7 linked regions of the Ovis aries genome follow. The protein of the gene in region 5 purifies or fractionates together with the protein of the main gene of each other region. This does not show direct contact. Links are inferred from orthologs where the notes say so. Each region holds a gene or a part of one and is shown on either strand. Other genes may lie near its edges. The genes, in order: CCDC97, SNRPB2, PRPF8, SMC1A, SF3B3, U2AF2 and SF3B6.

What was found.
Region 1: the proteins of SF3B3 (region 5) and CCDC97 purify together in Homo sapiens (affinity purification with mass spectrometry; 3 studies listed by BioGRID and IntAct, counting the BioPlex papers as one, with this or other methods). This does not show direct contact. The link is inferred for Ovis aries from reciprocal best matches to the Homo sapiens genes SF3B3 and CCDC97.
Region 2: the proteins of SF3B3 (region 5) and SNRPB2 purify together in Homo sapiens (affinity purification with mass spectrometry; 4 studies listed by BioGRID and IntAct, with this or other methods). This does not show direct contact. The link is inferred for Ovis aries from reciprocal best matches to the Homo sapiens genes SF3B3 and SNRPB2.
Region 3: the proteins of SF3B3 (region 5) and PRPF8 fractionate together in Homo sapiens (co-fractionation; 4 studies listed by BioGRID, with this or other methods). This does not show direct contact. The link is inferred for Ovis aries from reciprocal best matches to the Homo sapiens genes SF3B3 and PRPF8.
Region 4: the proteins of SF3B3 (region 5) and SMC1A fractionate together in Homo sapiens (co-fractionation; 3 studies listed by BioGRID, with this or other methods). This does not show direct contact. The link is inferred for Ovis aries from reciprocal best matches to the Homo sapiens genes SF3B3 and SMC1A.
Region 6: the proteins of SF3B3 (region 5) and U2AF2 purify together in Homo sapiens (affinity purification with mass spectrometry; 4 studies listed by BioGRID and IntAct, with this or other methods). This does not show direct contact. The link is inferred for Ovis aries from reciprocal best matches to the Homo sapiens genes SF3B3 and U2AF2.
Region 7: the proteins of SF3B3 (region 5) and SF3B6 fractionate together in Homo sapiens (co-fractionation; 5 studies listed by BioGRID and IntAct, with this or other methods). This does not show direct contact. The link is inferred for Ovis aries from reciprocal best matches to the Homo sapiens genes SF3B3 and SF3B6.

Annotation. Positions count from the first base shown.
Region 1 is NC_056067.1:50,031,349-50,035,898, reverse strand, and holds the start of CCDC97 (coiled-coil domain-containing protein 97), read right to left. Parts: upstream 3,216-4,550; 5' UTR 3,149-3,215; coding exon 3,109-3,148; intron 1-3,108. UniProt on the Homo sapiens protein: May play a role pre-mRNA splicing through the association with the splicing factor SF3B complex which is involved in branch-site recognition.
Region 2 is NC_056066.1:10,386,907-10,391,628, forward strand, and holds the start of SNRPB2 (U2 small nuclear ribonucleoprotein B''), read left to right. Parts: upstream 1-1,467; 5' UTR 1,468-3,905; intron 3,906-4,695; 5' UTR 4,696-4,721; coding exon 4,722-4,722. UniProt on the Homo sapiens protein: Involved in pre-mRNA splicing as component of the spliceosome. Associated with sn-RNP U2, where it contributes to the binding of stem loop IV of U2 snRNA.
Region 3 is NC_056064.1:22,664,870-22,668,933, forward strand, and holds part of PRPF8 (pre-mRNA-processing-splicing factor 8), read right to left. Parts: intron 4,013-4,064; coding exon 3,849-4,012; intron 3,420-3,848; coding exon 3,293-3,419; intron 3,192-3,292; coding exon 2,999-3,191; intron 2,728-2,998; coding exon 2,540-2,727; intron 2,387-2,539; coding exon 2,148-2,386; intron 1,933-2,147; coding exon 1,786-1,932; intron 1,624-1,785; coding exon 1,413-1,623; intron 1,223-1,412; coding exon 1,106-1,222; intron 1-1,105. UniProt on the Homo sapiens protein: Plays a role in pre-mRNA splicing as core component of precatalytic, catalytic and postcatalytic spliceosomal complexes, both of the predominant U2-type spliceosome and the minor U12-type spliceosome.
Region 4 is NC_056080.1:51,281,165-51,285,228, forward strand, and holds part of SMC1A (structural maintenance of chromosomes protein 1A), read right to left. Parts: intron 2,234-4,064; coding exon 2,151-2,233; intron 1,997-2,150; coding exon 1,789-1,996; intron 625-1,788; coding exon 439-624; intron 346-438; coding exon 166-345; intron 67-165; coding exon 1-66. UniProt on the Homo sapiens protein: Involved in chromosome cohesion during cell cycle and in DNA repair. Central component of cohesin complex. The cohesin complex is required for the cohesion of sister chromatids after DNA replication.
Region 5 is NC_056067.1:1,105,278-1,109,341, forward strand, and holds part of SF3B3 (splicing factor 3B subunit 3), read right to left. Parts: intron 3,899-4,064; coding exon 3,757-3,898; intron 1,697-3,756; coding exon 1,584-1,696; intron 482-1,583; exon of another isoform or gene 391-481; intron 141-390; coding exon 3-140; intron 1-2. UniProt on the Homo sapiens protein: Component of the 17S U2 SnRNP complex of the spliceosome, a large ribonucleoprotein complex that removes introns from transcribed pre-mRNAs.
Region 6 is NC_056067.1:62,669,521-62,674,166, forward strand, and holds the start of U2AF2 (splicing factor U2AF 65 kDa subunit), read right to left. Parts: upstream 3,211-4,646; 5' UTR 3,102-3,210; coding exon 3,053-3,101; intron 1-3,052. UniProt on the Homo sapiens protein: Plays a role in pre-mRNA splicing and 3'-end processing. By recruiting PRPF19 and the PRP19C/Prp19 complex/NTC/Nineteen complex to the RNA polymerase II C-terminal domain (CTD), and thereby pre-mRNA, may couple transcription to splicing.
Region 7 is NC_056056.1:31,743,729-31,747,157, forward strand, and holds part of SF3B6 (splicing factor 3B subunit 6), read right to left. Parts: intron 3,246-3,429; coding exon 3,127-3,245; intron 1-3,126.

The sequences.
Region 1 (4,550 bases), about 49 Mb from region 5:
TCTGGGCACTGTTCTAGGCCCTAGAGAGACCACCCTAAGCAAGAGATTGACAGTTCAGTGGGGAAGGCAGACAAATGGAAACATGATTAGTAGAAACAATAGTGTGTTAGGTGGTTCCAGGAGCCGTGCAGGAAAATTAAGAGGGAAGGAGGAGGGCTGGTGCACTGGGATGACCCAGAGAGATGGTATGGGGAGGGAGGTGGGAGGGGGGCTCAGGATTGGGAACACGTGTATACCCATGGCAGATTCATGTTGATGTATGGCAAAACCAATACAGTATTGTAGAGTAAAATAAAAAAAGAGAGAAGGAGGAGGGTATGGGGGTCAGGCTGCAGTTTTAAGTGGACAGTCAGTGAAGGTCTTGCCAAAAAAGTGACATTTCAGTTAGAGACCTGAGGCCATCAGGGACTGAGCCATGAGATTTCTGTGGGAAGTGGCAGAGGAAAGAGCCAGTGCAAAGGCCCCGAGAGAGAAGTGTGCTTGGTGTGTTTCCTTATCCTTGACCACTTCAGTCACTGATTCACTCTATTTTGCCTTTTCCCTTGTTCATGAAATCTTCCATACATTCACTAACTCCACTCACTCATCCATCCTTCTCTCCTACTCACACACATCCATCTAACCACTCTTCAGCAACTCTAAATCTGTGCTGGGCCCTGAGCTGGGCAACGCTGAAGACCCACTGAGGGATCCAAATCAGCTCCCAGGGAGCACCTGGTCTGATGGGAGAAGACAGACAAGGTCAAAGCCAGTACAGGCACTGGAAACAGAAAAGCTGAGGGCTGGGCAAGCCTTGGTGAGAGCTGTTTTCTCAAAAGTGGCGGGAACTGGAGCAAGGCTACTGCAAGCAGGAAATAAGCGAAGAGGGGAAGTATAGACAACTCCTCTAGGTAGCTTGACTGGGATGGGGAAGAGAAAGAGGGTGGTGATTATGGTGCAATGGGCTTCAGGGAGCGTTTTAATCACTGAGGCAAGAGAAGACTGGGCTGGACCATGTAAGGGGCTGTGGAAGAGAGGATAGATTAAAAAGATGCTTGAGAGGCTGACTAGGACAAGTCATGGGATTGAAGGGCTGGAAGGCGAGGAAGGCATTCAGTTAAGGTCCAGGCCTCTGGCCAGTAAACTGGTCAAACTGTCCCTGACACACAGGCATGGATGAGGAGCACATTTGGGGGAAGATGTTGAGACCAATTTGGGACATGGATGGTATGACAGGCCCAGGAGACACCCAAGGGAAGGCATTTATGAGACTGCTGGTACCTGGGGCTGGAGACTTCTCAGGAGAGAAGTGCTGCTCTGGGGACAGTTACAGAAGTCATCAGAGACAAGGAAAGCGGTGGAGCTGAAGGAAAAAAGTCACAGGGAGGGTACAGGAGAGTGTGTGAGGGATGAAAAGAGAGGAGGGACTAAGAAAGAGCCATGACTGGATGGGAAGGAGGCTGTGAGAGGCTAAAAATGGCCCCCCAATATAGCCACATCTTAATTCCTGGAACCAGTGAATGTTAACCTTACATGGCCAAAACCCCCCCCCAAAACTCAGAAGGTCTTTGCAGATGTGATTAAGGTATGGACCTTGAAATAGGGGGATTCTTTTGGATTATCCTGGTGGGCCCTAAATGCCATTACAAGCGTCCTGTCATAGCGAGATCTGATGCACCCAGAGGAGAAGGCAAGGTGAAGACAGAGCAGAGATTGGAGTGATGTGGGATCAAACCACGGAATGCAAGGAGCCACCAGAAGCTAGGAGAGCTGAGGAATGGGTTCTCCTTAGAGCCTCCTCAGCCCTGCTGACACCTTGATGTCAACTCAGTGATACTGATTTCAGACTCCTGGCCTCCAGAACTGTGAGAGAAGAAATTTCTGTTGTTTTAAGCCACTCAATTTGTGGTCATTTGCTACAGCAGCCATGGGAAACTAATGCTGGCTGAGCAGGAGGAGCCTGAGAGATAGGAAGGAAATCAGAAAGAATGGTGTCACAGAAACCAAAGAAAAACATTCAGTAAAGACAGAGGGGTCAATGGCATCAAATTCTCCAAGTAGTTTAATAAGAAAAAAAAAACCTGAACAGGGCCATGTGGTTTAACTACAGAGTGGGGCTTCCTTGGTGGTACAATGGTTGAGAATCCACCTTGCAATGCAAGGGACACCGGTTCAATCCCTGGTCCGGGAAGATCCCACATGCCTTGGAGCAAATAAACCCGTAGATCACGACTACTGAGCCTGTGCTCTGCAACAAGAGAAGCCACCACAGTGAGAAGCCTGTGCATCGCAACAAAGAGTAGCCCCTGGCTCTCCACAACTAGAGAAAGCCTGCATGTAGCAACAAAGAGCCACCCCAGCCATAAATAAATAAATACATACATAAATCTTTCTTAAGACAAAAAAAAAAACAAAAAACACACAACTACACAGGGAGGTCACTGGGGACCCTAATCAGTGCAGTTTCTGAAGGTAAAAGCCAGACAGCAGTGGGTGGAAAGAGGAGGCAAGTGTAAATGACTCTTTGGAGAAGATTAAATGGTATCTGGAAGGCGGCATGGAATCAAGGGATAGCTTTTTAGGTTAAAACTTGCAAAACAAAAGCATTTTAGGTACTGATGGGAGAGGCATCAGGAGAAATAAAGAGATTGAAAACGCAAAAGAGAGCACAGAAATGGATTAACGACCCTGAGTAAGCAGATGGGACTGTGGACTTTCGGAGAAAGGGAATTAGAGTGAAATGTGGGGAGGCGTTAGCAAAGAAGAGTTTGCGTGGGAGGGGAGGAGTCAAGGGAAGGAGGTAACATGAGAAAGCAAGGTTGGCTGAGATAATGCGAGAGTTAGCCCAGGACAGGGACAGGTTTGCTAGCCTGAGTTAGCCTCGTAAGGAAACGGGTTAGCCCGGGACACCGAAAGAACTGGAAGAGGTTAATTTCAGGGGAGGCGATGGGATAAAAGAGGTCAGCCTGCCAAGACAGGGGTTAATCTGGACAAAGCGGTGAAGCGGACAGGTAAGGCCGAGGACAGGTGCCCTCTTTTATACAGTCCTCCTTCACCTTCAAGGGGAAACATTTCACAGTGACACTGCAGCCCCACCCTCCTGCCGCCTCCGCGCGGCCAGGACCTCACCTTCACCAGGTTCCCTCGCCGCGGTCACTACGGCCTCCATCCCGACCGTCTACGACTTGTTACCCGCCGTGGCGAGCTCCTAACACCAATTCCTGACGCAGGTCTTTAGAGGCCACTTCCGGCTGAGTACATTCCTGGGACCGGGTGCTCCACGGCATCAAGAACTAAAGTTCCGGGACGAAGGCGGCCCTTCCTCTGCGCACGCGTGCTGCTGCCCGACCCCGCCCACTCCAGCCGGGCAGGAAAAGCGCGCCAGGGCCAGATGGGCTCTTCCGGGCCACCCCCGCCAACCTGAACCGCTACGAAATTGTGGGGTTTCAGGAGGGAAGCAGTGTTCAACCTGTGCACTACTGACCCCAGAGCCCAGCATGCTTCATTTGGGAATGGATGAATCACCACCCTTCATGACCTCTGAGTGCTTGGGCTCTGGTTTAGACCTGTCTATTCTCTTCACCACCTCAAAGAATATTTGCTAAGTCTTGTAGCATGCCTGTCATCACACCCAGTCCCTGGTTAGCACGATTGGTGGTGAGATCAGAGACTGAACGTCCCACTTTGTTTCCAGGACCTGAAGAATCTGCAGGTGTGGAAAGAAGACCTTGGTCTTAATTTGCCCTAGGTGGTAGGTAAGGACTGGCATTCAAACCACTGACCAAATGGACAGGGCTGATGGACCCACAGGTTCAGCTAAGGGAGCTGTCCGTCCCAGCCTGGAGGGCCCAAGGAAGGTTTCTTTCTGGGAGTGAAGGATACCCTGAGACCTGAAAGATGAGCAGGAATTAGGGTAAGAGGGAGGTAGAGAAGGGTCTCATGTAGGAAGTGGGCAAGGCAAAGCCCTAGAAGGGAAGGCAGGTATCCATAGTTCTGTTTGCTGCAAGGACTTCAGTATGGTCAAGGAGTGAAATGAAAAGTAAAGTCGCTCAGTCATATCTGACTTTTTGCGACCCCATGGACTGAGGAGCCTGGTAGGCAAGAGTGCTGGAGTGAGTTGCTATTTCCTTCTCCAGGGGATCTTCCCAACCCAGAGACTGAACCTGGGTCTCCCTCATTGCAGGCAGACGCTTCCATCTGAGCCACCAGAAGTAGGAAAGTTCAAACTTGGCCCTGACCAGACTGCAAGGATCGGAGACTCTCATGATCTATGCAAAGTTCCAAATACACATGCGTTTCCAAGGCAGAAGTTCATGGCATTTAGAGCCTAAAAGGGATCTGTGGCTCTCCCTAAACAGCTTAGTGATTTGAAGTTTGAAAGGGGAGTGGCAAAAGATAAAACCAGTGAGGTCACCAGGCCCAAGTATGTGGGCCACGTAAGCCGAATTAAGTAGCTTGAGCTCCTTGATCCTGCGGAGAGCTAGAAGAGGGTGAGGGCATCAGGGTAATGGACTGGAGGACAGCGAGATCTGTGAGGAGGCTGATGCAGTAACCCTGATATTATGGCTGAA
Region 2 (4,722 bases), on a different chromosome or scaffold from region 5:
AGCCTGGATAGAGCACAAGCTGGAATCAAGATTGTCAGGGGAAATATCAATAACCTCAGATATGCAGATGACACCACTCTTATGGATGAAAGCGAAGAACTAATGAGCCTCATGATGAAAGTCAAAGAGGAGAATAAAAAAGCTGGCTTAAAACTCAACATTCAGAAAATGAAGGACTTGGAATCCAGTACCATCATTTCATGGCAAACATTTGGAGGAACAATGGAAACAGTGAGAGACTATTTTCTTGGGCTCTAAAATCACTGCCTATGGTGACTGAAGCAGTGGAATTAAAAGACGCTTGCTCCTTGAAGAAAAGCTATGACCAACCTAGACAGGATATTAAAAGCAGAGACATTACTTTGCCAACAAAGGTCCATCTAGTCAAATTATGGTTTTTTCAGTAGTCACATATGGATGCGAGGGTTGGACCATAAAGAAGGCTGAGCACTGAAGAATTGATGCTTTTGAACTGTGTTGTTGGAGAAGACACTTGAAAGTCCCCTGGACTGCAAGGAGATCCAACCAGTCAATCTTAAAGGGCATCAATCCTGAATATCCATTGGAAGGACTGATGCTGAAGCTGAAGTTCCAATACAGTGGTCACCTGATGTGAAGTACTGATTCATTAGGAAAGACCCTGATGCTGGGAAAGATTGAAGGCAGGAGGAGAAGGGGATGACAGAGGATGAGATGGTTGGATGGCATCACCAACTCAATGGACATGAGTTTGAGCAAGCTCCAGGAGATGCTGCAGGACAGGGAAGGCTGGTGTGCTGCAGTCCATGGGGCTGCAAAGAGTCGGACACGACTGAGTGGCTTAACAACAAAAAGGCTACTGTGAGTGTTCTGAGCACCTTTGTGATAGGTCTGGATTAAATGTGTGATGCTGGGTAAGTTAGGTGTTATTACATGTGTTCTCAGTTGCATCTTACAGTGCTTTCAACTTACTGATGTGTTTGTCCTGTCTAGTCGTGTCCAACTGGACCATCCCATGGAGTGCAGGCCACCATGCTCCTCTGTCCACGGGATTTCACAGGCAAGAATACCGGGGTGGGTTGTCATGCCCTCTCCTCCAGGGAATCTTCCCAACCCAGGGATCGAACCCAGGTTTCCCGCATTGCAGGCTGATTCTTTACCGTCTGAACCACTAGGGAAGCCCACAGATGTGTTTATCAGGATGTTCTAGGTTAAACAGCGCTAACTCATGGTGACGGAACTGATCACCGTCTGTCCTTATACTCTTACTGCGCTCCCCCAGAATTCGAGTTAAACCCACAGAATTCCCCCAGGCCTATTTCCCTTACCGCGTTTCCCCTTCACACCTGTTCTCCCCATCCACCAGGTGTGCGCATGCTCAGAGCGATTACTTACTGTGGTCTAGACCGACGGACATCGATCCACTCTGGGCTCGGCTTCTTGACTGATCGGCTTTCGATTGAGGTGCGTGGTAGCGTCATTTCCGGTGGCTGGTTCCGCTTCCGGGTTCTGGCTTGTGGTTGTTACGGGACGTAGAGGACCTGTTCGGTGAGTTGGCGGGGTTTTTTTCTTCGCTCTCTCCTCTCTTCTGGCTGCGGGTTGCGGCTTAGGCAGACCTTCCCCTGCGGGAGCCGAGAATAAGCGGTCCGCTGCGCTGGGGCCGGAATATATGCAGCCGAGGGTGCGTGGTGGGTCGCCGAGGAAGGCCTGGAAACTGACGCTCGGGTCTGGCGAGGCCCCTGGACTTAGAGCTTGTCTTAGGCGGGACACTTTGGGGCCGGGCATGGCGTGGCCGCTTCCTGGGGCTTCGGGCGGAGCCCGTGGGCGGACGTCGCTGCGTCTGGAGAGCCGGCACCCTCGCGCGTGTGAAGTTACGGAAAACCTTCGCGTATGCGAGGCGATTACCGCGCGCCGTGCGTTCTCAGGGACCTCCCAGAGGCTCCCCTTTTGAATCCGGAAGGCGACTCCCTGCGCCCCTGCTCAGTTTGATCCCTGTCACTTCCTTCTCTTCATCGTCTTCGAGTCACCAATCCACCAAGATTCAGTTTAGGGGTCTCAAACCTCTGAGAGGCGTTCAGTTCAGTTCAGTCGCTCAGTCGTGTCCGACTCTTTGCGACTCCATGAATCGCAGCACGCCAGGCCTCCCTGTTCATCACCATCTCCCAGAGTTCACTCAGACTCACGTCCATCGAGTCCTTGATGCCATCCAGCCATCTCATTCTCGGTCGTCCCCTTCTCCTCCTGCCCCCTATCCCTCCCAGCATCAGAGTCTTTTCCAGTGAGTCAACTCGTCTCATGAGGTGGCCAAAGTACTGGAGTTTCAGCTTTAGCACCATTCCTTCCAAAGAAATCCCAGGGCTGATCTCCTTCAGAATGGACTGGTTGGATCTCCTTGCAGTCCAAGGGACTCTCAAGTGTCTTCTCCAACACCACAGTTCAAAAGCATCAATTCTTCGGCTCTCAGCCTTCTTCACAGTCCAACTCTCACATCCATACATGACCACTGGAAAAACCATAGCCTTGACTAGACGGACCTTAGTTGGCAAAGTAATGTCTCTGCTTTTGAATATGCTGTCTAGGTGGGTCATAACTTTTCTTCCAAGGAGTAAGTGTCTTGTAATTTCATGGCTGCAGTCACCATCTGCAGTGATTTTGGAGCCCCCAAAAATAAAGTCTGACACTGTTGCCACTGTTTCCCCATCTATTTGCCATGAAGTGATGGGACTGGATGCCATGATCTTCATTTTCTGAATGTTGAGCTTTAGGCCAACTTTTTCACTCTCCTCTTTCACTTTCATCAAGAGGCTTTTTAGTTCCTCTTCACTTTCTGCCATAAGGGTGGTGTCATCTGCATATCTGAGGTGATTGATATTTCTCCTGGCAATCTTGATTCCAGCTTGTGTTTCTTCCAGTCCAGCGTTTCTCATGATGTACTCTGCATAGAAGTTAAATAAGCAGGGTGACAATATACAGCCTTGACGTACTCCTTTTCCTATTTGGAACCAGTCTGTTGTTCCATGTCCAGTTCTAACCGTTGCTTCCTGACCTGCATACAGATTTCTCAACAGGCAGGTCAGGTGGTCTGGTATTCCCATCTCTTTCAGAATTTTCCACAGTTGATTGTGATCCACACAGTCAAAGGCTTTGGCATAGTCAATAAAGCAGAAATTGATGTTTTTCTGAAACTCTCTTGCTTTTTCCATGATCCAGTGGATGTTGGCAATTTGATCTCTGGTTCCTCTGCCTTTTCTAAAACCAGCTTGAACATCAGGGAGTTCATGGTTCACGTATTGCTGAAGCCTGGCTTGGAGAATTTTGAGCGTTATTTTACTAGCATGTGAGATCAGTGCAATTGTGCGGTAGTTGGAGCATTCTTTGGCATTGCCTTTCTTTGGGATTGCGTTACCTTTCACCTGTTAACCTACAGAACAGTCCTCATCTGTAGGCGTTTTGCTTGTCAGACATCCTACGCTATGCAAGTACTATGAGTGTAAATGTTTGTGAAATGAAGGTATATGTGGGTTATCAGGGAATAAAGCAAGGTCCCAGTTCGTGACTAAAGAGTGGGAAAAATGAAATAGTGTGGTGGGTGTGAAATAAAAGTGCAAGAGACAGAAAACGAGGGTTGAATTTTCAGGCCTCCTGCGTATCACCTATGTAACCGTGGGAAAGAACTTGCATTAACTTTTTGTTTCGTCGCCAAATCATGTTCCACTCTTTGCGACCCATGGACTGTATTCCGCCAGGCTCCTCTATCCATGGGATTTCCCAGGCAAGAATACTGGAGTGGGTTGCCATTTCCTTCAGGGGATCTGCGTGACCCATGGTTCGGGCCCGCGTCTCCTGCGTTGACAGGCCGATGCTTTACCACTGAGCCACCTGGGAATCTGTGCTTTATTCTGTGATAAACAGCAGTGACAGCTGTTGTAAGTGCTTACTGCTCATTCTAAAGCTGCAAAGAATTTTATCTCATTTAGTCTTCTGAGCTCTATTGGGCAAATCACCATCCCCATTTTACAGATATGAACCTGTGAAATTAAGGAACTTGCCATCAGTCAAGCAGCTAGTAAGAAGCATAGAAAGATTTGAATTCAAATCCACTGGCACTAGATCCTAAGTTTTTAACCATCATGCTGTACTATACCAGCGTTTCAAGTCGGTTCCATTTGACTTTGGAATCAGGACTGTTGGTGATGGTGTGTGTAAATTAAGCAATAATATGGAAGTGCTTTATGAGAGTACCCATGCAAGGATTCTTAGCCAATTTCATTAATGTTCTGTATCTTATGATTTTTACTGAACGTGCATTAGTTAGCTTGTTTTTTTCATTTTTCACCGAATCTATTCACTTTTTAAATATTGTTTAAAAGGAAAAGTTTCATTAGGCAAATGGATAAAAACAGTCTCACTTGTCATGGAAGAAATAGGTTATAAAAATAGAAGTATGGAATAAAGGAATATTATTAAAAATTGACTAGATAATGGTGCGGCACCAAGTTTTCAACCTGAGAACTGTTCTTTTCTTTAAAAAGGAGGGCTCGCAAGTTTTGGAGAGGTTTTAAAGACTACCCCCAAACTGATATTTTCAGTTTTCAAACTGACATTTGGGGCTGAAAGAATTGAAAAGTCAGTACCTTTGTTCTATGTCCTTAATGCCACCCTATGACGTGAACGAATCCTCCCTGTTTAGTAACAGAATATTTATTGTCTTTTTAGGCTATTGGAACAGTTTAACACAAAACA
Region 3 (4,064 bases), on a different chromosome or scaffold from region 5:
ATTTTTAAAAAATGTATCCTTCACAAAACTATTAAAAAAACTCTACTAAAAAACTGAAAGCCTTCTTTATTACATATTTAAAGGGACAGGAAAGCCAGAAGGGGAGAAAATGCTACAGCTAAGAGTTACTCTAAGACAAGTCAGGAGAAGGTGATTTTTTTTTTTTAACCCACTGGGGGATTTTATTTCTATATATGCGCATTGACAAAAAATCCCAGGTTATCCCCCCATGTGTTTTTATGTCTTGCTTCTTTGCGGTCCACGATGCCAACTGAGTTGTCAGCACAATGAATCCAAACTGATGGGGCAAGAACAGAATATACCGCCACTTTTCTAGATCTTTGAGTTGCACAGCAAATCTGGGGCTGATCACCTCACGACAGTTGTTTAATCTGCCCGTAAAGTTCACAGTTTTGCCTGCTTTGTGATCACTAGTGATTTCAAACTCACCAGTATCATGCTGCCTCGTCACCACAGCTAGAAACTGGACAATGACTTTGAAATACAACCTGATAAGAACCTAGACTTCCCTTTCTTTTTGGTATAACTGATGCTCTTGAGAGCAACAGCCAGGACATTCACGTGCACCATTTCTAGAACGGGAAAACAGCAGAAAGAGCAAGGCGACTTTTTAAACCTTGATAAAACATAAGCCCACACAGTTAAGTAATCTTCAGATTACTCTTTCTCAATTCCAGCTGCCTTCCAAAGGGGTGGAGTGGGGGGCTTTGGAAGCAACTGAAGAGGAAATAAACAAAGATACCTTGTTATACTTGCTTTTTAACATGCATGCTATATTAAAGGTCAAAAGATTAAATGTATGACCTGGATAACAAGCCTTCAAATTTTTTTTTTTTTTTCAAGCCTTCAAATTTAAAAATCCCACTTCTACTCTCAACTTAGAAGCATCGCAACTACACGGATGTAGGCTATAGAATTCCTACAGGGAATTCTCAGGAAACCACTGTAAATTGATCTGACACTCTAAGCTGCTGTACCATGAAGCATGGAGACTGTACTCTGAACACAGCTGGGAAAGAAGAACAATAAAGCAGGGAAGGACCGAAGGGATGAGCTGGACAGAGGCCACGACTACTGTGCGTACCTTCGTGAAGGTGGTGGAGCCAGAGGCCATCAGGATTTGGCGCACGCGGTTGTGGAAGCGCTGCATTGACTCATCATCCACACGCAGGAAACACTGAGCTGTCCGCTCTTTAGTCACCTACATCACAAGCTCAAGGTTAACCACCTCTGGAAATGCCAGGGGAACAAGAAACAACTCTGACCACCACTAAGCCCTAGGCTCCCAGGAAGGCCCAGCTGACAATGGAAAGTGTGCTGCGCCTTTCACCCCACACCTGTGAGGATGCAGCTGGGCCTACTCCTGCCCCCGGCCCCACCTGAGACTGTACCTCGTTCTGTAGGTTCCAGACCCCGTCCTTGTGGGTGAACTCCTCATAGCTGGTGCGGCACTTAGGCAGGATGCGGCACTCAAAACCACACATGTTGAACAGCAGGTTGGGGTTGTCCTTACTGTACACGGATACGAAGCTGTTCTCCCACTGAACTGTAGTCACTGAGCGTGGCAGACGGTTCTTGATGTCCCAGAACACTGCCCGACCCCTGCCCACAGAGAACACAGGGTCACATAGGTCTCTTGGAAGGAGCTTCCCTTCAAAGGCCAGCTAGACTGATGACGTCCTGACAGAACACGCCCTCCCACCCAGGACACCGCCTGATCAAGTCCCTTTAATCATCCTCTGGGTCCCTCAGGCTTAGACTCACAGGTTGACATCATGCTTCATTAGGCGCATGCGGGCGTCTCGGGGCCAGCACTTCTTGTTATTGTAGCCAACGATGTTTTCGTTGTTGGGGTCAGGGTGCTCTGTCAGGTAACGCTGGATAAGGTCCCGAGCCTCATCCGCTGTGAACCTACAGAGACAAGGTGCGTGGCTGAGGCCCAAGGACACTGGATCTCATGAGGCCTATGGCTCCACAGGTGGAGGCCACTCCCAATTCCCACCCTACTCACAGGACTTCATCCCATTTCAGAGCGCCAACCCAGCAGCAAGTCAACTAAAGTACAATAGCTGCTTCAGAAGCTGGGCAAGGACCTCAACACAATAAGACTCCAGGCAAGCACTCACCTGAAGAATATATGGATGCGATCAATGTATCTGCAGAAGAGACGGATGGGGTGGGCAGCCTCGGTGGCTATGTCTTGGAAACTGAGGAAATCATTTGGCATTTGAGGTGGCCCGGCCATCTCACTGGCTCGGTGCAATCCCAACACAAGCAAGTCCATCACCAGGCCATAGTATTGTACGATGAAAGAGGCAAACTGCAGGCCTCTGATGATCCCATATGAATTTGTATGGTTCATGTCCTAGAAAGAAAGACAATTCTTAACCACAGCCAAATCCCAGGGTTTTCAGGGCCCATCCTCTTCTGCCTTCCCCTCGCCACGGAAATCCCAACTCAGTGGGCCCGACCACCTCCCGCTTCCCCCAATTCCTTGCCACCCTGACCCAAGACACACCTTGTAATTGATAACGACGTTGTTCTTGGCTGTCATGTAGTCAGCTATGTTGTGGTCAACGATGAGACGCAGCAGCCTATTGAGCAAGGTCAAGTCAATCTTCTCATACATCTTCTCAAATCGTGACTCCAGCATGACATTGCACTCACCCTCGCTTGTCTCCCACACATCCTGCAGGTTATTGATGCCTGGGGGGGAAGAAACACAAAGCTCTGGCAGGTTAGAAGTTCCCTTTCAGGACTAGAGCCTACAGAGCCGTCACATTCCTATCCAGATCTTAAGACCACTCCATTCATTGGATTGCTAGCTAGCAGAGTCAAATCACTCAGTGTAACATCAACACCATTTCTTTGGTACCAGGCATCAAGAAAGTAAACTAATTATGCTATCTGGATGAGAATTTCAATGTAGAAATTAAGGTATCTGCCTTCCTTAGAGGCAACCCCAGAAAAGTTTTACCTTGGCACCACTTGTAAACAAGCAGAGGAGGTGGTTCTGTGTCTGCAGGCTTGATCCAGGGTGGGAACAGGCGGCGCTTGTCAGCTTCGTACCATAGGTACTGGTCCAGGTAGGCATCAGTGATCTTCTCCAGCGGCTCCACATCATACACTGGCACCAAGTGGCTATAGAGGTCCATGAACTCAATGCCCACCTGTGGGACAAGGAAGCTGGCTCACACCAACCCACCAAACACCCTGGGTGCCATGAATGAATCACACAGCCAAAAGAAAACGTGTGGGGCATCTCACTCACTTCTTTAAAGGCTCTCTGTGTGAGGAGGTGACGCTTGATGCGGGACAGCGCCTCATGGGGGTTGTCATAGGCCTGCTCGATCAGACCTAGCTCCTCCCTCTGAGACTGGTTTAACCGAGACTTCACACTGACAAGGCAAAAGAAAAGGTGAATGAGGGCACTTCCCTGCTGGTCCAGTGATTAGGAATCCACCTGCCAAAGCAGGGGACATGGGTTCAATCCCTGGCCTGGCCAGGAATATTTCACATGCCGTGGGGGTAACTAAACCCATGCACTGTTAACTTCTGAGCCCAAGCTCCAGAGCCCATGCTCCACAAAAGAAACCACTGCAATGAGAAACCCACACACTGCAAGTAGAGTAGCCCCTGTTTGCTGCAACAAGAGAAGGCCCAAGGGCAACAATGAAGACCCAGTGCAGGCAAAAAATAAATTTAAACAGTGTGAATGGGAAAACCAAGAGGAAGCCATCCCCAGAAAGGCCTTCTGTGGACTCTAAAAATGATGCCACTCTGTGTCCATCACCTCCCTACAGGGACCTGTCGACTCTACTCCTCACCTGTAAGCTTCCTTGAGCCGCTCCAAAGCCAAGATCAGCAACTTGGTGTCATGCTTATAGGAGAGCGGGGGGAAGGGGATGGGCGAGAATCTACGGCTTTCCAGCCAATGCACAGTTGTGGTATACACTGCCACCGCTTCCTCTGCTGTGATGTATGGACCATCCTGCAAGGTGGATATGAGAGTCAGCTTCCCACTGCAGCCTCATCCCACCAGG
Region 4 (4,064 bases), on a different chromosome or scaffold from region 5:
CAGGTCACTGGCCCCGCCAGAGATCACCCCTGACTTCTGGAACAGGGTCCCATCCAGTGCCACTGTCTAAATACAGCAGGGAAAAGAGAGGAGGGGAGAGAAGCTGAACAAAGGAATCGCCAATACTAAGCCTATCCAGCTACAATGTGGCAAGGGAATCCATACCTTGTGGCGCTGGTGGCCTCCAAAGGCAATGCGGCGGGCATCCTCCACATTGTCACAGACAAGGGCATTGCCACAAGCATACTGCAGGGCCTTTTTGATGTGAGGTGGCTCATAGCGAATCACATCAATCACCAGCTTTGCCCCCTTCAGCTCCCGGAGTTTCTCATCTGTAGGTTTTACCTATGAGAAAAAGCTTAGTTAAGTGGCTGAACATGGAGGGCTAGGAGGAGCAGCCCTCTCACACTGCCCTGACCCCATCACCACCAGCCTCACCTCCAGGTAATCAAGAGGCAAGAAGGTTTCAGGCTCCCCACGCTGCTCCTTGATATACTGAATGCAGTCCCGGCCTGTCTTCTCTGAGTCCACAATTATAGCATCCATGTTCTTGCCCAAAACCTTGGTTACTGCAATCTGATACTTCTTTTGTGTGGGCTGGCAGAGGTCAATGAGGCGGCCGTACTAAGGAAAGTCAGAAGAGTGAATGAAGCATGAAGTTTTTGAGAGCTGGCTCAGGAACCCTAACTCCTAGCTTAGAAGGGGGATAGCAGGTCAGAATCTCTATCAGGAGCACAGCTCCCAAACTATGGGGAAAAGGCCTACTCTGGACTTCCCTGGTGGCTCAGATGGTAAAGCGTCTGTCTACAAAGAGGGAGACCCGGGTTTGATCCCTGGGTTGGGAAGATCCCCTGGAGAAGGAAATGGCAATTCACTCCAGGACTATTGCCTGGAAAATCCCATGGACAGAGGAGCCTGGTAGGCTACAGTCCATGGGGTCGCAAAGAGTCGGACATGACTGAGCGACTTCACTTCACTGGCCCCAAAGCAACAACAACTTCAGGCAGTCATGTCTGAATCCAGAATCATCTTTCTAAACCTCACTTTTACCATTTCATAGACCACTGGCACCACAGGCATTATGCAACTTAATTTGGTTCCACAAATAAAGAGCACAATAAATGCAACGCGCTTGAATCATCCCACATTACATTTATTGTGCATTTTATTTCTATTATTATTACATCAGCTCCACCTCAGATCATCAGGCATTAGATCCTGGAGGTTGGGGACCCCTGATCTACGGAAATGATCAAGAAATATTTGTAGAACCCAATTAAGTTGAACCCAGGGATGGAATTACAGCAATAGAGGGATAATATTCAGGGAATCTGGAAACTCAGGATTTCATTCAAGAGGCCAAAAGAACCTAGTAAATGAGCTGACTGTTATATGCTTAAGGAGCTCACACTGAAGCCTGCACAAAGCTACTGATACATCCTGGGAACTAATTCCTGCCCTGCAGCCCCTTCCCTTTCCCAAAGGCCTCTTCACTTTCTCCACCTCCCATAAAGGAGTGGACACAAGCAAGACAAAACTTTCAGAAAGATACAACTGGTGCAATGAAAAGAACACAAGGTTAAGAGTAAGAACAAGTTGGATTTGAATTGCAGTTCTTATACATATAAGCTATGCTGTTTTGAGCAAGTCATTCAACCTCTCTGACCCTGTTTTCCCCAGGTGTAAAAATGGAATTAGCAATCTGTCCTCATGGGGCTGCTGGGAAAATTATCTGACAGTGAGTATGAAAGACAGTGGTCAGGAAATGAATTCCCTTTCGACTCTTACCACAGAACCAGGGTACAGGCGCTTGATGCTTTCCATAATTTCTGCCTTTCGCTGTTGGCGGCTGCTCTCTTGGCGGTCGATGCGGGCATCCCCCAGCTGCTCCATTACCTGGTTCAGCTCCTTATTAATCTCATCAATACGCCGCTTGGCCATCTCCACCTCCTCTGTCAGCTCCCCCTCTAGTTTCTTCTGCTCCTCTAGAGACTGCCTACAAAGTGAGGAAATACTGGGGTTACCCTGGCTGGCCAGAAAATATTCCTGGCCGAGAGGGATGATGAGGGTCCTTCCTGGGGAGGGGCAGGACAGGTAGGGTTCACAAGAACAGGCCTGGAGATAAGAGGGAATGTTACAAAGCCACATACTTGCTGGTTGTGATGTATTCCTCTAGTTTCTCAATCCGTTTCTGATTCTCTTCAATCTCCCGCAGCTTTTGCTTGATCTTGGCCTGGGAGAGAGACAAAAACACTACATCACCATAGGCTGAGCAAGTTAAGGCCAAGACCATAGAGTCCTGGCTCATCCCCCATATGCCTAATCATTCTAACAGCCTAACAATCACAGACAATCTGTCACTAGTATAAGAGGCCTATTAAAAATCGGATATAAACAGTGTTCAGTGTGCCTCTGCTAACTGATGGGGCCACCATGGGCCCTATGAGACCCTCTCATAGGTGTTCTACCCAGCCTGGAACATCTTCCTCACCAAGCAGGCAGGCTCAAACCAAGACAAAGTAAAGCTTTCTGGGCCTTTCTGCACTTCTGCTTTATCATCTATAAAATGCAGGTAACTTCCACTTCATAGAATACACATTAAGTGCTTAACATGTATTAGCCACTAATTCTGTGTGTGTGTGCACTCAATTGCTCAGTCATGTCCTACTCTTTGCGGCCCCATGGACTCTAGTGTACCAGGCTCCTGTTCATGGAATTTGCCAGGCAAGAATACTGGAATGCGTTGCCATTTCCTACTCCAGAGGATCTTTCCGACCCAGGGATTGAACGCTTATCTCCTGAATTGGCAGGTGGATTCTTTACTACTAGCATACCTGGGAAGCCCCTAGCTATTAATTAATGCCTAATACCTTCTTTTAAACATTTAAAACTGCTTAGCACAACGCCCGGAGAAGGCAATGGCAACCCACTCCAGCACTCTTGCCTGGAAAATCCCATGGACGGAGGAGCCTGGTGGGCTGCAGTCCATGGGGTCGCTAAGAGTTGGACACGACTGAATGACTTCACTTTCACTTTTCACTTTCATGCATTGGAGAAGGAAATGGCAACCCACTTCAGTATTCTTGCCTGGAGAATCCCAGGGACGGTGGAGCCTTGTGGGCTGCTGTCTATGGGGCCGCACACAGTCGGACATGACTGAAGTGACTTAGCAGCAGCAGCAGCAGCAGCACCACAATGCCTGGAACATTGTAGGCTCTTGGAATATTATAACAACTTTCCATCATTCCTATTATTTTACTATGATTGTTATTAGGAAGGTGGTAAGTGAAATATACTTGAAAGTGTGGGCTTCCGGGACTTCCCTGGTGGTCCAGTGGCTAGGACTCTATCCTTCTACTGCAGGGGGTGCAGATTCAACCCCTGGTCAGAGAACTAAGATTCCACATGCCACAAGGTGCAGCCAAAAAAAAACCAAAAAAGTGTGGGCTACACTGCCCAGGTTCATATCCCAGTTCTGCCAGTTAATAACCTTAGGCAGGGACCTCCCTGGTAGTCCCATGGTTAAGAATTCACCTGCCAATGCAGGGGACAGAGGTTTGATCCCTGGTCCAGAAGATCCCACATGCTGCAGAGCAAGTAAGCCTATGTTCCACAACTACTGAGCCAGCTTTCTGGAGCCCAAGAGCCACAGTTATTGAAGCCCGTGGGCCCGAGAGCCTGTGCGCCACAAAAAGAGAAGCCACTGCAATGAGAAGTCTGAGCACTGCAACTAGAGAAAGCCTGCAAGCAGCAACTAAAAACCAGGACAGCCAAAAACAAAACAGACAAATAAATAAATATTTTAAAAGATGACTGCATATATGTAAAAACAGTGCCTAGCACACAGTAAGAGCTTGCCTTTTGTTGTTTAGTCGCTATGTCCAACTCTTTTGAGATCCCATGGACTGTAGCCCGCCAGGCTCCTCTGTCCATGGAATTTCCCAGGCAAGAATACTAGAATGGGTTGCCATTTCCTTCTCCAGGAGAATGTTCCCAGGGACCAAACCTGTGTCTCCTGCATTGGCAGGCAGATTCTTTACCACTGAGCCACCAGAGAAGCCCCA
Region 5 (4,064 bases):
ACCATATCTTCATCTGTCTCCAAAGTGATCTTAAAGATATCTCCCTGCTCAGTTTGAGCCAAAAAGAAGAACATTGATTTGGTCTTATGGGTGGCAGAGCAGACAAAAATCATTCCTCTTTCAGGGTCATCCAGGTCATTCTAGCAAAGTCAAATACACGATCAACATCTTAGAAATTAGGATTTCTTTTCTGGAATTCAGCACCTTACCAATAAGGATCAAACAGGCCACCAAATGTCTAGAGGCACCTGGAGTCTCTCCATGCAAGCTGTGACCCAGAGCAGCTTGCCAACCAGAGGATTATATAACACAATAAACAGAAATTCTTGTCTACTATAAATACATAATAAAGCTTAGGTTAAAAAAAAAAAAAGCCACAATTCCACTCTACAGCCTGATCAGATTAATAAGGCAAAAACTATCTCCAGAGAAAAATGTCAGAGAAGAGACATGAAATTTAAAGAATCATCATTTCAGGCTGTAAATAAGACTCTTACACGTTCACAGTACTATCCAAACCACCAACACCATCCCTCTTCTGTCTTTATCAACTTGCCAAAATCCCAAAAGGCATCCCCCTCAACTGGATTTTGTTTCTTTTTAAGTATTTCCAACATTTTGTATTTCTCTCAAAGGCAAAACATGTTTTATATTTCTTTGTAGTCCCAAAGTCAAGTACAGCACCTGGCAGTCAGGTGCTCAATAAATTTCTGATAACTAAACTTTATTACTTAACACCACTCCAAAAATTTAACTTGCTAATCTTACCAAATTTTCTAAAATTGATGTAATCTTACTCAAGTACCATGTACTAGATAAACTATGTCTTAAAAAGATTTAACCCCAGGACCTATAAATTAATATTAAAAAGAAAATTAATTTGGGGTGAAAAGAGTTTGAGGAAGCAGAGATCAATGAAGATTACCCATGTGCTGCTGATAACTGAAGCTGGGTACACAGAACTTAATTATAATCATCCCTCAACACCTGCAAGGGATTAGTCTGAGCCTCGAGGCCCCAGATACCAAAATCCACGGATACCCAAATCTCTTAAAAACGGGGTAGTACAAGGAACTGTTGTAAAGTGTAATGATCCCTACAACTTATCTTCAAATGGTCTTGCCTAAAAAACACAGATACAAAACAAAGAAAAGGCCAATGTAGCAGAGCAGTACTAGTAAGTGAAGCTAAGTGAAAAGTTTATAGGAATTCACTGTCTGCTCCTTTTAGATTTTGTCTATGCTGGAATGGGGTGGGGTAGGGGAGAATGAAAGACTATTTACCTGTAATGAATACACCTGGATTCTTCAAACTAGAAACTTTCAGGAATTGCAAATGGATAATGTTCATAGGTTCTTCAAGAATGAAAATTGTATCTGCTTTTTTAAAAACCGAAGCACAACTGACTTACAATATCATGCTAGTTTTAGGTGCACAGCCCAGAACTGTGCTGATTTTCAATTTTCTTTCTCAGATTTTGTTTTGTTGTGCTAAAATACTTACTGACTTTACTAAAAACACTTAACAAAAATTAAGTTCATTTCACAACATAAATATATTCTCTTATGGTAACAAAGACCTACCCGTCTCCTGGGAATTGGACAGCGGATATCCGGTTGGTCACCGAAGTTCTTATAGGTAATGTAGTTTTCGGAGCAGATTAGCACTCCACTTGGACCATCTGATCCCCCTGGAACTGTCATGAGAAAACAATAACTAGTACTATGAATTTAACCTTCAATTCCTTCTCTCCTTCAGCACAACTTAAAGGTGCCTGAAGGGGCTAAACATTCAACGTGTTTCTTTTCCCTGAGAGTTACACTAGACAAGGATGGAACACCATTTGGGTGATCTCAGCCTGTCCAGATATCTAGTAAGGCATCTAAAAGTTTAGCTCCAAGCCCAGAACTCAGTTCTCAGCTTCGGACCTATAATCCAACTGCCTGATGGACACTCTTACATGGATATTCCATAGCAGGTTAAAAATGAACGCATTCACAAACCACTGCCAAGTTCCTTACCAAACCATTTCCTGGGTTCTCAACCTTAGAGAACACTGTCATCAACCAATCGACCAAACCATCCTTTCTGCAGCAAAAAGGATGTAACCCTTCAATTCTCTCCTCTCCCACACTGGTTCTACCTCTTCAGCAGTCCTCATGCTGCAAACCTCTTTTGGTTTAATGGAAATGCTTCCTGACCTTACCACCTTCCATTCCATTACCAAAATGTAATCATGTGATCTTTCTAAAACATTCACCTTTAATAGGTCATTATTCTTCTGCTTCCTCCACCCCAGCTCTTCACCTCCAATGATCCAACCACAATGAGCTTTCAGTTTTCAATGAACCATGTTTTTTCCCTGCATTTGGGCTTTTGTGCATTCTATTTCCTCTGCCCACAACAGAAACTCCTCCTCCACCCTCATGGCCCCTAACTCCTAACTATTCCTTAGTCCTCGGCTAAGAGCACTTCTGAAAGCTTTCTCTAATGCACTGCCTTCCTTTTCTGGTTAGGAACCCCTCCTCCATGCTGTCACGGCATGTGGCACACTCTGGTAATTTTTGTGTTACTAGTATGTATTCACCATTATACTCAATCTTGTATATAAGGAGACACCACAACAACTTTTTCACCACGCAGTCCCAGGGGCCAGCAGATTGACTTTGCACGTAGTGATCACAGAGGTTCAGTAAACATTTGTTTAATGAATGAAACCCTTGTAAATGAGAAGTATCATAATACATAATAACAAGTAATTAACATAATCTATTTTTTAAAATGCTTCTGCTTTATAGTCTCTTCCTAAGATTTAACACTCAAAGACAACTGCTATTTTATATTTTTCTTCTCCAAAATCCTATCCAACAACAGACATACTTCATTTTAGACATCAAATGCAAATGACTCAAAACAGAAAGGACTGGATCACCATCTTAGATGAGCCTGATACAATTTAGACATCACAAATATAGTTGTCCTTTAGTCTTTTAATATAATGAATTAAACTAATATTGATTCTTCATGGTGAACCTCTTTGAGCTCCTACAAAAATCATACTTTGCTATGACGCATATAAAACACTGTTGAATATGATTTGCTAAAATTTAAGATTTCTGCATCTACCATCAAAGGATAACTAGGCTGTAAATATTTCTTATTACTGTCCTTCCCCAGTTTTGGTATGAAGTTATACTAAGCTCTTAAAGTGGTACATAGGTTTTTATTCTTTTTCTGATCGCTCAAGAAACTTAAGGTCCCTAAAAATTCTGGACCTTAAATCTTCTGAGGAAAAGAAATTTTTGATTATTGCCCCAATTTTTTAAACAAATGTTGGTCTATTCAGGTTCTTAATTTCATCTTCTATCAATTTTGGTGACAGTTTTCAAAAATATTTCTATTTCATCTAGGCTTTCAAACTGAAGGACAGTTTTATCTTGTTTCATCCACAACATGCCTTTTCACAGAGCCAGATTTTGATTTTTGTAATGAGAGTGAAAGATTGACTACAGTCAAAACACCAGAGCAGCCACCAGAAATCAATATTCCAAGCCGACTGCTCTTTCTTTCTCTATCCCATTAGAGGGTAAGAGTTAACCACCACATGAATTTCTAACATCCCCAAAACACAGACAAGGCACTCAGGTTTACTATGAATAGATTATAGCTTCCAAATCCTATTAAGTAAACACTCCTAAGTTTGGGCATAAAATGTACCAAGCAAAATGGTACAAAGCAGATGGAAGAAAAAAGTACCTGTAATTAGGAAGTTTCCATGTTCCTCCAAAGGCTCACTGTATTTTCGGACTACGTGATTTAAACCAAGGTCTAATTCATAGAAAGTAAGCGTCTGCTGGGTATTAGCTGCTGCTTCCCCAGTTGGATCATTGTCTGCTTCCTAGGTAACAGTGGCACAAAGACTAATCAGTACCATAAAGTCAAACTTTCAAAGCTGAAAGTAAAAGAGTGGATGCATGTATGTGTGTAACTGATTCACTTTGCTGTACACCTGAAACCAATACAACATTACAAATCAACTATACTCCAGTAAGAATTATTCAAAT
Region 6 (4,646 bases), about 62 Mb from region 5:
AGGCCGGGCGGGGCCGGGCAGCCCCGGGGGGGGGGGGGCACCCACCCGTCCAGCCCCGCCCCCAAGCGGACCGCCCTCCTGGGAGGCCCCGCCCACCACCCCCGCGTCAAGGACGCAGGAGCTGGGTGGGCCCTTCGTCCAGACCGCCCCACGGCCGCTACAGCCGGGGCCTTCGACCTCCCCTCCTTTGCCCAGCAGCCCGCCACCCTCCGAGGCGCGCGGCTTCTGCCCCACGCGGTCTGTAGTCCAGTCCCTCGGTTCAAAGAGGCCACTGGTTCCTCCACTATGCTCAACCAGCCCTCAGACTCCAGTTCATTTTACAAGGAGGCGGGGGCAGTAAGGACAGGCTGTCAAAGCCTCGGGCGTACTGCTTCAACTCTCAAGCTCTTCCGAAGCAACTACCCGCGAACTTTTATAAATGAGTTTTAACACTAAAGCTACATACGCACCCAGAAAAGAAAAAAACCTCGTTGCAAACACTCAGATCCTGTCTAAAACCAGACTCTGCTGCTTTTACTCCCCGGGTTACTGTGGGGAAACACTTGCTGGGAGCGGGAATCTCGCTCACAACAGACGAGAAAATTGAGGCTTAGGGAGGTCATGTGACTTGCCCTGGCCAAAAAGCCTGGATACAGGTGAAGCCTGAATATGAACCCTGAAAGGTCAAGGGCAGCTAGGCAGGGGCAATACCTCTAAACACGAAACAGGCAGACCCATTAGGACCTGGCTGGAACCACTGGTGATGGTGAAATTGCCTCCTCAAAGATGAAAAGACTAAACGTGAAAAATATATCCAAGACTGGCACCAGGAGGAACGGGCAAGCAGTGTGAGGAGCATCCTGGTCCTGGGAAGGGGATGGACAACGGTTCTGGGCCTCTGGCTCCCCACTGCTAAGACGGGGAGACACCCTTCCCTGCAGCTGAGGCTCAGAAACAGACAACCAGAGAGAGGTGGTCACACAGTAAGCACTGGTGCCCGCCGGGTGTCATGGACACAAACACGGAACCCAGGTCGCAGGGGCTGAGGCCTGGGGGAGGCAGGACCGCCAAGACAGACTCAGGGGCAGAGCAGCACGTGGGCAAAGCTGCCCCATAAAGCAAGGGAAACCCCTGCCCCACCCCAGAAAAAAAAAAAACAAAAACAAAAACAGAATGATCCAGCACACATCAGAACAGAAGGGGAGCTCTGGCTGCTCTAAATGCCACGGCCACGTCGTTATGGAACAACTCACCAACCCCAGGGACATGCCCAGGCTGAGGGCCTGGCCTCCCAGGGCAGAGGGGACACCCAGGCAGAGACCAGAGCGCGGGTGTCAGGGCCCCAGGGCAGCTCCATCAGCTCTGGCTGTCCAGCCTGGAAGGACGCGACTCCGCAGCCCCGCAGACTCAGGGGCCGTTTCAGCTTCCTGCACAAAACCGTGCAACAGCAACCAAACCTCTAAACCTGTTTTCTCCTGTTATTTAAATGAGGCTCTTGGGCACCCCCAGGTGTACGGCTTGGGTACATCTGCTGGAAACGCGCGTCCACATTTCCGTGTGAGCCCGCACATTATGAACGATTTCACCGTTGAAAAGGTTCACTTATTGGGTACTTTAAAGAGGCCAAGCCACATGCCACACACTGTCGGCATGTTGCCCGCTGAATCTCAGCTCTGCCTCTCATCAGCTGAAATCTGGAAAGCTTTTATTCTTGAGTCTGTTTCCACCTCTGCGAAGGGTACGAAATCACTTCAGCCTCGCGGAGCTGTTACAAGAACCCTCTTAGGAAAACTGCAGAAGAGCTTAGCAACGTGCGTGACACACTGTGGTGGGTGCTGTAAACTTAACTATTATCACTATCATCTGTTAGCGACCAAAAAAAACACCAGCGACCTACGTGAGAAAAAAATAGGCCCACAAATACTCAGGCACTCATCAGGTGCTACTCATCGTCTGCTCCCCTCCAAAGCCCGTGCTGTTAAGCAGTGCATCACGTATGGGACAGACAACCTGTGGGTAGGTACGCTTCCCCAGGCACAGTCTACTGATCCAGCCACCCCCTCCCCAACTTCAGGCTGGGCCGAAAGGTGAATCCCAGCGCCCCTCACTCAGCGTTCCAGACACAAGCAGAGTAAGCCTCAAGCCCGCCACCTTCCCTCGACCCAAATTTGTTCACTCTCAAACCGGATTAAGGCGGCAAGGAAATCTGCTAACTGTCCTACAACTCTCCCAGCGCTAACGTTCTTGGAGTCCCCAAACTAATCACAGCCCCGTGCTTGGACTCGCCGTCTCCCGAGGGGGACGAGCTTCCCACCCTCTGAAGTGAAACGAGCCCTCTCCTCGCTCAGTGCCCAAGAATCCGCTCCACGCTGAGATTTAGGAGGCTGGCGCGATCATGCAGGCCGTGGGGAGCGATGACAGACAAACACTCCGCACTGCGACCGCCGGGGGAGCCAGGGCCCCAAGAAGGGGTGCAGGGGTGCGGGAGGGGCACAGAGCACGGACAATGCGGCCTCTTCCACCGCCGCCAACCCTAGCAGCCCGCGGGGTCCCGGCGGCCGGTGAGCAGGAAGAAGGGCAAAGGCGCCGGGGTGAGAGGTGCTCCCCACGCGGCACTGCCAGCGCCCACGTGAAGGGGGACCCACAACCGCCATTTTGGAACAAAGGGGGCGTGGAGAACCAGGCCTAACCAGCCGGAAGCGGAAGTGCCAGGGCGTCGGGCGAAAAGGAGTTGCTGGACTCATCTATACAATCCCCTTTCCAGATTAAAAAACGCATAAATCCGTGAGGTGACACCAGGCGAGCCCGCTGCGCCAGCGCCGCCTCCAACGCGACCACTCTAGGCGCGGAGCGGAGCGCGGTGCGCATGCGTCCGGGTCGGCGCCCGCCGCCCCCTCCCCGCCGCGCGTGGCACGCCGGGCGGTCACGTGAGCGAGGCGCGCGCCGCGGGACGGGAGGGGGGGTGCGCCGCGCGGCCCTAAGAAGAGGGGGAAGCGACGGGAAAAATGGCGGGGGACACGGAGGGAAGCCAAGAACCGCCCCGCCCGCTGCCCCTCTCCCCCGGCACTCTCACCTTGCTTATTCTCGTTGAGCTGCCGCTCGAACTCGTCGAAGTCCGACATGCTGAGGCGGCCGCGTAGGGCGCTGTGCAGCTTTCGCTTCGCCTTGCCGCGCGCCCGCTCCGGCCGCTTCGGCTACTTCCGCCGCTAGCTTCGGCTACTTCCGGCCGCCGCCGGCGCTCCGCCGCCTCCTACCTAATCAAGGCCTGGCTGCCCGCCCCGCCCCGCCCCGGCTCCGCCCCTCACCGCCTGCGCGCCCGCGAGGTGCCCCTCCCCCCAGGGTCTGGCGCCGAAACGCGTCGGCTATTTCCGGACCGTAGAGGAAAGCGTCCGGAGCGGTGACTACGGCTGCTTCCGAAAACACCCGAAGTGAGGGTTTCGCGGACTCTCCCAAGTTTTCGTAACTTTTCGGATATTAGCTCTTCCACGTTCGGATGTTTTCGGAGTTCCTTGCGTTCCTCTGTACCCAGCCCCCTCTAAGAATCCGGCTTCTTCTGAAAATTCAAACCGTCCCTTTGACTGCTTGCGCTGATTCTCCCCGCTCTTCTCCGCCGGCCCAGTCCAAGCGAATCGGCTACTTCCGACAGTCCTAACCGTCCCGGAGTCGGCACTTTCCGAAGGTTTCCGGCGCTCGCCTTCGGACCCAGTCAGAGATCTAGCTGTTTCCAAACTTCGGTTCCTTCCGGAGATTCCAGTGGCACCCTCCTCCCCTCCCGGAGAACTTCGGCTCCTTCCGCCACCACTTCGGGAAGACCCCCCACTCACGGGTGACAGCTTCGGCTTTTTCCGTCAGTGCTTCGGCTCCTTCCGGCTCCGGGAACCGAAAAGGGAGGGAGGACAGAGGCGAGGTGGGTCAGGGGAGAGGAAACGGAGAAGGGCAGCGTCCCAGCTCTCGGCACCTGACTCTCCGGGTGGGGAAAGGGGAGGAAAAGAAGGGCCGCTCCTGTGGAGAGCCTAAGAAGGCTGCGCGAGACAAAAGCAGCCAGCGGGGTAAAGGGTGCGCGCGGCCGCTGCGGAGGTTGCCAGCGCGGCTTTGTGCGCCTGCGCAGGGTGAAAGAGGCGGGGGGGGCGAGATGGGCTTCTGCGCCTGCGTTAGACGTCGGTCTGAGGCGAGGTTTCTCAGCCGCTCCAGAAAGGCCCCCCCACCCCTGCTTCCAGAGCCCTCAGCGCGCGTGCGCGAGTCTTCCCCTTACCCCGGGGAGGGCACTGCATTCCCAACCGTTAAGCTACGCCGCCTCTTTACTAGTTGCCGTGGCGACCGCACAAGCGCGCTCGCCCCGCCGCGCAGGCGCCGCGGAGGACACTTCCGGGAGACGGATAATCTCGCGATACCGCCTCCTGGCGGACTCCTCAGCTCGGAGGTTCCCGGCTGCCCCGGCAGGCCACCTCCGTCGGAGGTCATGGAGTCCCTCCTGCCGCCGCGCCTCTGGTCCCAGTAGCCCAGCGGGTGGTGCTCACGCACTTTCCCCGAAGTGCTGCCCCGCCCCCAGGGCACAACTGCCTCCCCTCCCACCCCTGCCTTTGCGGGAGCTAATTACACCCTTTCTCGCCCAGTTCCCCGGCTCCCGCCTGACGGTCCACGCTCCGGAATCCTCCAGAGCCCCCGTC
Region 7 (3,429 bases), on a different chromosome or scaffold from region 5:
CCAGAGAACGCTCTCACTTTGTCATACTGCATGGGCCTGATGAAGAATTTTATTATACTCATTCAAAGTAACAACTTCTGACTTTTAACCATTTTCAAGAATGCTTATTCTTGAAATATTGGGGAATACTCAAAGGAAAAAAACACTGTCCCAAAGATTTTCCCCAAAATCTTTTTATTTGGGAATAAAACCATTAAAAACAAAAAACAAAAAAACCTAACGATTTAAGTTCCAAAAGGGCAAATACATGTTTTTTTTTCTTTTTACTCCTACAGTGAGTGCTATGCATACAGCAAGTGCTAATAAGCATCTGAAGGATGGAGATATACTTTTTCCTATCAGTTCTCACACACATCTTTTTTTCCAGGAAGCTAACAAAACAAGAGCATCTCTCTTTTTCCTCTTACATCTTCTTAGGAAGTAGAAGCAGGACAGGCACTAAACCCATTTTAAAGATGCTCCATCTCAAGTGCCCCAGCCCCTAATTATCAACTTAGTATCTTGAAATCTGCATTGTAATTTTAATTAAAAACATATACTTGGTACCTACTATTAATATATGTTAGGTGCTGAGTCAACAGTATTTTCTTCCTTTGGCCACACCACACAATTTATGGGATTTTAGTTCCCTGACCAGGGACTGAATCTGGGCCCTCGGCAGTGAGAGCTTGGCTCTTAACCACTGGACCACCACGGAATTCCTCCAACATTATTTTCTTATCAATGGTAAAAGCTTAAAGTAAAAATAAGGAGATCTACTCATGGAACAACCTCTCTGAGCTTCAGCTGTTTCATGTGTCAAATAGTGACATCCTACCTCACACATGGTTTTCATAAACAAAAGATGTAACAAGTATGAAAGAGCTTTAAAAAGTTCAAAGCACCGAGAGTCTGCTACATGCCAGGTGAGCTGACAAATCGGCCGGGTTTGTCCAAGACTGTCCAGGTCTGGGCACTGAAAGTCTACTGTCCCAGAAAACTCCTTGGCTCTGGGCAAACTGAGAAGGCCACTCACCCTACTGCTGGGTGCCACAGAGCATGCCCACAGCTACAGGACAGGAAACATCTGTTCCTCAATCAATAACTTAGACCCAAGTTCTTGCATACCAAACTTTTATGAATTTATTCAACAAATATAGATAGCGTTCTTTCTACATGACAGGTGCTGGAAATCCAATAGTGAAAAAGATGAGCATCATCCCTTCCTTCAAGGGGCTCTTTTCATGCAGGAGAAAGATATTATATAAATAAATACAAAACAGTTGCAGTTAATGAGAGATTAATGGGAAGACAGGGGTTACTTTAGCTACGGTGGTCTAGGAAAACCACTCTGGCATTAAAGCTGAGACCTGAAGAATGAGGAGCCCGGAATGAGATGAGCTGGGTGGAAATCCACCCCAGACAGTGGACTGAAAGTTCTAAGGCCCTGAGCTACTCTGCAATCTTTATCTTGACTTAACTCCACTAATCTCTTAATTGTATACTATCAATAAATTTTGTTATACCTTTATAAATACACTGCCACTTTCTATATTATTAATTTACTTACAGGCACCGGGTGCTCAACATGTGCCAGGCACAACAAGGGTTGTCAACTAAGTGGAAAGAATATATGGTTACCTGCCCTGGAGGAATCCAAAGGCTGGCAGGAGCCATAAGTGGGCACACAGTCAACAGCAAAACCATATGACAACTAAGAGAACAAGCTATGGGAGCACAGAGACGGGGTAGCTGATGCACATTGGGAAGGAAATACTCAAAGTGTGAACTATCTAATTTGATCCTCTGGGAAATTCTTCTAGAAAGATTTTATATCATAGATAAACTCCAGAAGGTTAACTATTTTGCTGTTTCATATGACTAGCAAGTACCCAGTTGGTATTCGAACCTAGGTTATCATACTGCCTCCATGTTAAAAGCTGAAAGGCACTATCCATTCAGATTATCTTCTATGTGAGGAAAAAGCCAGGCAACTTGTCTAGAGTCACAGGATTCATCCTGAAGCAGAATCTTGTCTCCTGAACACCAAGTCAAGGGATCTTCTGTATACCATTCTTGTATGTCTCAAGCAGGAGTTCTTAACCTAGAGCTCATGTACCCACTGAAATCACATGTGAAATGTTGTGTGTATTCTGCAGAAAGGGCCCAAAGCTTTTATCAAATTTGGAAAAAAAAGAGTTCCTTAAAAGGACAATTGATTTATAACACTTCATCTCAGTTTTGAGTACCAATGATGGTACATGTCTAGCTCTTCGTTTACTTTTTGGAGGAACAGTGATCACTGAAAAGGAGAATCCTCAAGATCTCACAGAGTTCTAAAAGCCAAGAAGGAACTCTCAAGTCATGAAAGAATTCCAATGGAAAATAAAATCTTTAGAAATCCTCTTAGATGGACTCCTAGTTAATTTGCTCATGTATACTAGTTAAAAGGACAGCAGCTGTGGTACTATGCAGAGATTCAATTTAGAATCACAAGATTTTATCACTAAAGAGCTGGGTGAAACTAGAAAAGTATTGATACTTTTACTCTCTGAGCTTTAGTAGTCTCACCTGTGAAACAGACACCCTATCACTTCCACACAGGGTTGTAGTGTCAGTGATGCAAATAAAAGCACCTATTAGGACAAATGGCATACAGAAGATGTTCAATAGATATCATCTGAAGCCCCAATCTCTAGATTAAATTAAAACATGGATTTATAATTACTTTGCCCTATATTTCTAAATCTTCAACAGAAAGGTGTAGTTGCAAAAAAATCATTTTTCTGTTACTTTTATATTTCTTTACACAACTTACTCAGAAATTTTGGAGTCAGTAAAGGAGACAGTGAAGACTTGAGAAAATTAAGAGTAACCACAGTAGAATACTTCTTTACAAACAGTAGGTATATAAAAAAATGTCAGTTCTTTTTCTTCCCATCTGTTGCCTTCAAACCACTCATTACTACTTCATGCTCTCTATAATTTCACAACTACCATTCTTGGCTTTCACTGAGTTGGATCATGAGGGTCTCTAGGCTTAGTCTCTAGCCTCTTGGTAAGGCCCTCTGTCAGCTGTTAATTCTGAGTTATAAATTACACAATCATTTCTCTAAATGACATTTCAAGAGTTTCACTAAGACTCACACTCTGATTTGACGAATAGGTCCATATTTCCCAAATATATCATACATTTCTTCAGCTGTGATTTTGTAAGGCAAATTTCTTATATACAAAATCCGATTTACTTCTGGTGGAAGTCGAATCTAAAATGAAAGATAATGGGTTATCATTATAATCAGAGGCAACAGTGCTACCATTTGAAAAACTGTCTCATAACACATTCTAAAAAAAAAGATACATAAATTTATACACCAAGAATAAGAATTATAATCTGACATTAATGAAAATGGCATGCTTTTGGGAAAAGCAACTGGGCGCTGGTTATAG